Canis lupus familiaris: one gene and its partner. The protein of the gene in region 1 purifies or fractionates together with the protein of each later gene. This does not show direct contact. Links are inferred from orthologs where the notes say so. Each region holds a gene or a part of one and is shown on either strand. Other genes may lie near its edges.

Region 1 (3,961 bases):
ATCCACCAGAGGGTGCAATGTGTGCAAAGGCCCTGGGGCTGCACTTTGCCTGCTGCGTTGGCTGCAGGAGGCCCCGGGGGAGGGGGGAGGGGAGGTCAGAGGCTGTCGTGGGGCAAGCCTGGGGCACACCTGGGAGGCCTCGTTGATTGCCTTGAAAAGCCGGGGTTTTCCTTTGCTGTTGCTGCATTTCAGCTGAGAGATGGGGGAGGGGGAGAGGAGGGAGAGGGCCACAGATGGGGGCTCACGTCGGCGCCTGCAGTTCTGAAGGTGGAGGGTTTGCAGTCGGACAGGATGGACAGGATGTGGAGAAGGGGCAGGACGGAGGAGCGGAGCTGCCGGCCCAGGGCGGACAGACTAGGGAGAAACGGGTGTAGACGGCAGATAAGAAAAAACGGGCTGGCGGAGGGGGTGCCTGGGGGGCTCCGTTGCTTAGGCTTTTTTTTTTAATTCTCGAGAGACAGAGACAGAGAGACAGAGAGAGAAAGAGAGAGAGAGAGAGGCAGAGACACAGGCAGAGGGAGAAGCAGGCTCCACGCAGGGAGCCCGACGTGGGACTCCAGGTCTCCAGGGTCACGCCCTGGGCTGCAGGCGGTGCTAAACCGCTGAGCCACCCGGGCTGCCTTTCTTTTTTTTTTTTTTTTTTTTAAGACTATTTACTCCTGAGAACCGCTGGGGGAGAGGCAGGCTCCTGCGGGACCCGATGCGGGACTCGAGCCCACGATGCGGGGATCACACCCCGAGCGGACGCTCAGCCACGGAGCCACCCGGGCGACCCGAGGCTGCTGCGCAGTAAGGCGGCGGCGACGCCCAGCAGCGGGATGCGTACCTGGTGGGGGGCCTGACAACATGCCCTGCGCCCCGGGGAGGCGAGCTGACCGCTGACCCCACCCTGGCCTCAGTTTCCCCGCCCACACCTCGCCTCCGCCCTTCCGGATTCCAAACTCCCCACCCACACGGGCATCGGGCGGAAACCACAACTCCCGACAGGCCCCGCGGCCGAAACCCCGCGACAACTGCCGAGGCGAGAGTGGGCGGTCCCGTTCGCTCGGCTCTGGCTCCGCCCACCGCCGCTCGCAGAAGGCCCGGGCTGCCCTCGGCGCTGCCGCCCGCGAAGGTCTCTGGAGTCCGGCGTTCGCTGTGGGCAGCCCCGCGCGGGGCTTGGCAGGGCTCGGCGCAGGCGCAGTCAGCGCGGGCCCCTGCCGCGGGCTCAGGCGCGCGGGTTGCGAGCGGCGGCCGCCATGGACGACGAGGAGGAGACGTACCGGCTGTGGAAGATCCGCAAGACCATCATGCAGGTGAGCCCGCGCGGTCAGGGCGGCGGCGGGCGCAGCTCGGAGCTTCCGGGCGCGCTCGGCGGGTGCGTCCCGGCCTCTGCGGCCCCTTCCTGTGCGGTCCCCACGCGCTCGGAGGCGCCGGGCCGCGGCCCTGTCCGTCCTTCTCCGCGGTGACGTCATCCGGCCGCGCCCCTCCCGCCCCGCCCTCTGAGCCCGGGGGTCACCCGGCTGGTGCTCCCTGCAGCTGTGCCACGACCGCGGCTACCTGGTGACGCAGGATGAGCTGGACCAGACGCTGGAAGAGTTCAAGGCCCAGTTTGGGGACAAGCCGAGCGAGGGGCGGCCCCGGCGCACGGACCTCACGGTGCTGGTGGCCCACAACGACGACCCCACCGACCAGATGTTTGTCTTCTTTCCAGGTGAGGGTCGCGTGGGTCCTGGGTGGCTGCGTGACCCCTAGGAGTCCGCAGCCCTCGTGCAGCCATCCAGGGACGGTGTCTACACCCGCCCTCCCGAGTGCCCAGCCTGCTGCGCACGGTGCCACGGGGTGCTGATGGGAGCCCTGGGTTCTGTTCCCCGCTGACTGTTCGTTCAGTGCAGCCGGATTGTCGCAGGCCTCCCGGGGGGCCCAGCCCCCTGCCCAGAAGCAAGGGCGTCGGAAACCTTTGCAGGAGGGACCCTCCTGGTGCTCGTGCAAACAGCGTCCCCGTGTGTGGGTCGGCCTGTGGCAGGGCCCTCCCTGGAGTGGGCCCGGGGCGCCCGTGTGCTCCAGTGGGCCACAGAATGGGACTGAGCGGCCGTGCTGGTCCACCTGGACCGCCGCGACTGGGCGCCGCAGACCGGGCGGCTTCAGCAGCAGCCTGACCTCTTCCGGGGCTGCAGGCAGGACGTCTGAGACCAGGGTGTGCACGGGGCTGGGTCCCCCTGAGGCCTCTCCCTGGCGTGCCGGTGGCCGTCTTCTCCATGAGTTCCCGAGGTCGTGCCTCTGTGTGTCTGTGCTGTTGTGTCTGACTGAGGTCCATCCTGACAACCTGGTGGAATCTCCTCTTTAAAGACCTCAGTTCCAAGTACGGTTGCACCCGAGGTCTCGGGGGTTAGGATTGTAACACGGGGATTCCGTGGGAAACAGCTCAGTCCCTGACGCTGCCCGTCAGGTGAGCAAGGGTCCGAGGGGAGTGCTGTGATGGGGCAGATGTGGTGCACCACACGCACCCGTCCTGGCAGCAGGCACCCAGTTGCTCACCTTCCACCAGGCTCAGAGGGTCCCGCAGGTCTTGGCCCCTGTACTGTGGTGAGCGTGAGGGTTCCCACCGTGGCTGTGCAGGGAGGGGGTTTGGTCCTTCAGGTCAGCTGCTTCATCTGGGGATTCCAGACATTGCACCACGTAGGTCCCCAGATTCAGCTTCCAGGGAGGGATCCACCAAGTGGGTAGATGCAGGGCACCCATCAGCTCCGTGGGGGCTGGGGGGGAGGACTGGCACCCTGGTGGGTTCCCTGGGGCCCTAGAAAGAGGGAGCTGGTCCAGAGAGGCACTGCTACACCTTGGCAAGGTCAAGCTGGAGCCCGCGCGCCTAGCAGGGTGGAAGTGAACGAGCAGGTGAGTGAGCAGGGCCCTTGGGGCAGGAGGGACTCTTGCAGTGTAGACCTCGTGTGTTCTGTCCCCAGAGGAGCCTAAAGTGGGAATCAAGACCATCAAGGTGTATTGCCAGCGGATGCAGGAGGAGAACATCACCCGGGCCCTCATTGTGGTACAGCAGGGCATGACTCCCTCCGCCAAGCAGGTGGGCACGCTGCTCGTGTTGGCCGCACGTCCTCATGGGCCCCAGGATCTGGGGATCTGAGAAGGAGCGGCTCTCCCGTGTGGGCAGAAGCCAGAGCAGGGAGGTGCCCTGCATGGGTGCCAGCATTCCTGTGGTTAACAGGTCCGAGGAGGGGCTGCTGTTTGGGACGGAGGGCCAGCTCTGTGCGCTCGTCCCTGCAGGGTTCTCTACGTCACACCAGCACAGGGACAACTGCAGGAGCATTTTGTTAGGTGTCACAGTTTGTGTCGGGTGGTCTCTTCCTCCCAGAGGAGCCTTACTGACCTGACACGTGGGAACCCCCTTTGGCTCCCACCTGCCCTCAGCCCCTGGGAGAGGTGGGGTGGCGGCGTCTTGGGCCTTGGCTGTGCGTGAGGGTCAGCCTCTCTTTCAGTCCCTGGTTGACATGGCCCCCAAGTACATCCTGGAGCAGTTTCTGCAGCAGGAGCTACTCATCAACATCACGGAGCACGAGGTGAGGGCCTTAGTGGGGGTCTGCGGGAGGGGAGGCTGGACGGCTGGTGAGGTGGCACCTGCCCGAGCACAGGGAGGGCCTGGGGACGCACCAGGTGCCGCTGCTCCCACTTTGTGGGGAGGAGGAAGCAGAGCCGGAGTCTCAGTGAGGCCCTGGGCACTTGCCAGGTGTGCAGTCAGGCAGCTGGGGGGCAGGGGGTGGGGTCTGTCCAGGGGCCCCTGCACTCTCCAGGTTATACCCCCCCAGGCGCCTGCAGGCCATAGCTCCTTCCCCCCAGGCGTGGAGTCAGGAGCAGGGTGGGGTGGCAGCTGGGACCCTTGGGTGGATGGTTGACTCCAAGGAAACAGCCTGTGGCGCTCTGCTCCCCTTTCCCGTGTGGGGGCGCCGTGGGGCCTGTCACACCCACAGACTCA
Region 2 (4,220 bases), on another chromosome or scaffold:
ATTGGAGAAAACTTGAGATCTCTGTATTATTTCTTAAAACTGCATGTGTATCTGGGGCACCTGGGTGGCTCAGTTTGTTAAGCATCTAACTCTTGATTTCTGCTCAGGTCATGATCTCAGAGTCATGAGATCAAGCTCTGGGTAGGGTCAATGCTCAGTGCAGAGTCTGCTTGGGATTCTCTTTGTCTTGCTCTAAACATCAATCAATCAAAACAAAAAACAAAAACAAAAGCAAAAAAAAAACTCTGCATGTGTATCTACTACCTCAAAAACTTTACTTCAAAAAGAAAGTACAACTTCTTTTGGCCAGTTATCACGAGTCTGAAAAGTTGTCCTAGGGATAGATTCCAAAAGAAGAAAAAAAGGTTAAATGCACCAGATGTTCACTGTAGCGTTATTTACAACAGCGGGGGTGGGGGTGGGGGTGGGGGTGGTGAATCTAAGTGTCCAAACAGGAAAATAGGCAAATCATGACACAGCCACCAAGAATTATTACTCATTTGATGCGGCAACAAAGAAATGTTATTTCAAAAGGGCTTCAAAATTGTGGTACAATAGGACAGCTCTACAAGGGGATTGCAATATATTACAAAAGTTTCAATGGTAGTATTCTACGTGGAATTGTAGCAGAATTGTTTTTCCTTCCCTCAAACTCTCTGCAATGTTACGTGGGATTAATTAATTAATTAATTAATTTATTTATTTATTTTGCATGGTTTGGGGGTGGAGAGAACAGTAAAAAGGCTTTTTTTTTTTAAATGTTAATGTCGGAGTCACCATAAAAGTTCTTTAAATTCGTCCCTCCCAGTCGGAGCAAACTTCATTTTTCAATTCGGGGCTTGGAACGAGAGTGCACACAAGGGTCGGCAGTCCAGAGCCGGGTGCGTGCTGCAGTTAGCACGCTGGGTGCACTTAGGCACCCAGGTAGCCCGCGCAGCTGCCCTGGCGCAGCGCCCGCAGCCCCACCTCGGGACCCTACCAGGAGTCCGGGCAAAGGACCCCCGAGCGAGGGCGAGGCCGCAGCCCAGAGGACAGTGACCACTCCAAGGTCACCATCGAGCCCACAGCCGCGGCTCGGCCGGGCCCGGGGCGCCCCAGCCCCGCGCCCGGGTCTCGCTCCCGGCCCCGCGCCCCGCGCCCCGTCCCGAGCCGCGACCCCACTGCTCCCAGAAGCTCCGCCACGGCGAATCCCCAGGTTGGGTCGTGGCGGCCGCCGAGGCCCCACCCCGGGCTCCGAGCTGAGCGCCGCTGCCCCCTCCGCCCGGGCCAAGCCCCCAAAGCGCGGCACCACAGCGTAACCCAGACCAGACCCCTCTTCCTTTTTCGCCCTCTCAACCCAGCTTTTCCCGACTCCGGGAAGAACCGGGAAGAGAAGGCGGAGGGGAGCGAGGCGCCGCCGGATAAATACTGTGGCCCGGCCCCGCCCCCTGACCTCACTTCCGGCCCGCGGCAAGATGGCGGCGCCCGGGCCCTGCCACGCAGACTTCCGCCCGGCGCAGAGACCCGGGGCGGTGTGCGGGCCGCGTCGGAGGTGAAGTCGGGACGCGCGTGGTGCGGAGCCGCCGCCCGGGTACGCTGGGGTGCGCCTCTGCCTCGTGCCTGGCCGGGAGCCTGGGCGGAGGGCGAGCCAGGCGCTCCACCTGGGTGGTCCGGGGAGCCTTGCCACGTGGAGAGGGAGGGACGCCGGGACTAGGGGAGGCCACGTGGGTGGGGTTCCGCCCCGGGTCCGTGTGTCCGCCCCCTCGAGTGACTCTGTTTTGCCCCTTTCCTCCTTTTCTCCCAGGCAAAATGTCGCAAGGAAACGCTGCGGGCGAGCCGAGCGCCCCGGGAGGCCCCCGCCCCCTCCTCTCTGGGGGCCGGGGGCTTGTTGGGCGGCGGCCGGCGCCTCCCCTCACTCCGGGTCGCCTTCCCTCCATCCGCTCCAGGGACCTCACCCTCGGGGGAGTCAAGAAGGTACCCGACGGCGCCTTGCTGAAGAAACCCTGCTACCTCGAGTCCCAGGACCCTGGGGTTCACCTGACGCTCGCGTAGGGCCCGCCGCGTGCCAGGCTCTGTGTTGGGCCCAGGGAAACCCCGTCCCCAGACTTCTGCTGACAGATTCTAGGGAGTCTAGACACCGGGCGCAGGACCTTGACGTGGTTCTCAGAAACGGCTGAAGGGCAGAGAATCCTAATTACTTCCCAGGCAACTTGGGCAATGTTTATTTACTTTTTAAAAATGTGTTTGGGATACCTTTAAGAAACCCCTGAGAGCCAGCAGGCATAAAGTTTGCCCTCAATTTTAGAGAGTTCTGTATCCGCCATGGATTATGGTGGGCAAACTGTGATCTAGTGTAATGAATTCTAGGCAGGGCCTTGGAGGCTCAGTGTTCTTTTGCGTCGTGTTTATCACTGTAGATGTTAAGATCGTCCCGAAATTGGGGAGGGGAGGCAGCTGGTGGTGGTGATGTAGCAGAAGCATAAAGCAGCTAGTTTTCAAAGACTTGTTTGCCTTGGGAAATGCTGGTGGCAGTCTAGCTGTGTCTGTTTGTGGGTGCAGGCGGACTTTGTACTTGAGGCTTGCTGCTAGAGCTCTTTCCTGTGATATTCAATGATTTGACAAGAAGTGAGATTAGATAAATAAATTGTAGAAGTGCTCAGGGTTCTCCTTTCAGAGGGCAGAAGCTGAGGCCACTAACTAAAATGGGGTTTTGGTGCCCTGTTCAGTGTGTAAGTCCACTGCTATCATGACAGGATCTTCATTCCTTTTAAGCACATGCCTATCTCTGTAAACCATTATAACAGTAGGGAATGTAGAATGGTGGTCTTGGTCCATACAAGATCCCTTTTGAGAGTTTTCATTTTTCTCTGTACTTTGGGAAACTTAACAAATCAGTGACTCATATTTTATTTTCAGAAAACCTTCACCCCAAATATCATCAGTCGGAAAATTAAGGAAGAGTAAGTAGCTCAGCCTTCTAAAAACTTTCCCCTTGGGGCACCTGGGTGGCTCAGTGGTTGAGCATCTGCCTTCAGCTCAGGGCGTGATCCTAGGATCCAGTCCTCAGGAGCCTGCTTCTCCCTCTGCCTATGTCTCTGTGTCTCTCATGAATAAATAAATAAAATCTTTTAAAATAATAAAACAGGGAAGCCCGGGTGGCTCAGCGGTTTAGCACCTGCCTTCCACCCAGGGCGTGATCCTGGAGACCCAGGATTGAGTCCCACATCGGGCTCCCTGCATGGAGTCTGCTTCTCCCTCTGCTTCTCTCTCTCTCTCTGTCTCTTATGAATAAATAAATAAAATCTTTTAAAAAAATAACACAGATTTCCCCTATTGCTCTGAATTTGGGTCTTTTGGGAAATAACTACGTATGTGGCTCAGAAATCTAAATTTGTGTATTTTTTTTTCACTAGTGATTTTTGACCTTGGCTTCCAGGTGATTGTAACGTGCAAGTTTTAAAAAACATACTGATGCCTGGAAGTCCATCTCTGGAAATGGTGATTTAACTTTTTTGCGATGAAAGAGAGTGATTATCCTTTACGGCTGGAGTTGAGAGACACTAGTTTAGACAAAAATGTGTTCAGTTCTCACTTACATTCTTTTGTATCACAGTCTTCTTGCTTTTAAGCAATACTGAGAAGTCCACATTTAGGGGCAGTCTCTGTAATTCCACTTTTGAGTCGTAGTCCTGTTATATACTCTCAAGCAAGAAGATAAGTAAAGTGAACTGAAAGGAAACTGCCCCATCAAGGAAGTAGAAAAGGTGCTAGACTTAGGATTGGGTTCTGCTTCTTCAGATACAGTCACTGGCTCTTGATTCTCTGCTCGGGTAGAGTAGAGTGTGTGTCAGAGTAAGACCAGTTCTCTGAGGCAGAGTGAGTGAGTGGTTTCCCTTCCTCCATTCTCTTTTCCAGGCCCAAGGAAGAAGTAGCCATCAAGAAAGAGAAGCGTGACAGGGATAGAGACCGGCAGCGAGACGGGCATGGACGGGGCCGAGGCCGCCCAGAAGTGATCCAGTCCCACTCCATCTTTGAGCAGGGCCCAGCTGAAATGATGAAGAAAAAGGGTACAAAGCTTCTGGGGTTCCGGGAAGAAGAAATCCATAGATTTCAGTCCAGACTGCCCAAGAGAAGGGCAAGGGCAGTAAAATTTCCCTGCTCCCTGTGTGCTTTTCCTTGCTGTTGGCCTCTTCCATGCCCCTGGTGAACTGAGTTATTTCCCACAGGGAACTGGGATAAGA

The links.
Region 2: the proteins of POLR2E (region 1) and POLR3D purify together in Homo sapiens (affinity purification with mass spectrometry; 6 studies listed by BioGRID and IntAct, counting the BioPlex papers as one, with this or other methods). This does not show direct contact. The link is inferred for Canis lupus familiaris from reciprocal best matches to the Homo sapiens genes POLR2E and POLR3D.

Annotation. Positions count from the first base shown.
Region 1 is NC_049241.1:58,128,669-58,132,629, forward strand, and holds the start of POLR2E (DNA-directed RNA polymerases I, II, and III subunit RPABC1), read left to right. Parts: upstream 1-1,161; 5' UTR 1,162-1,238; coding exon 1,239-1,295; intron 1,296-1,518; coding exon 1,519-1,693; intron 1,694-2,939; coding exon 2,940-3,055; intron 3,056-3,467; coding exon 3,468-3,548; intron 3,549-3,961. UniProt on the Homo sapiens protein: DNA-dependent RNA polymerase catalyzes the transcription of DNA into RNA using the four ribonucleoside triphosphates as substrates.
Region 2 is NC_049246.1:35,180,821-35,185,040, reverse strand, and holds the start of POLR3D (DNA-directed RNA polymerase III subunit RPC4), read left to right. Parts: upstream 1-1,420; 5' UTR 1,421-1,570; intron 1,571-1,783; 5' UTR 1,784-1,788; coding exon 1,789-1,953; intron 1,954-2,895; coding exon 2,896-2,939; intron 2,940-3,894; coding exon 3,895-4,046; intron 4,047-4,205; coding exon 4,206-4,220. UniProt on the Homo sapiens protein: DNA-dependent RNA polymerase catalyzes the transcription of DNA into RNA using the four ribonucleoside triphosphates as substrates.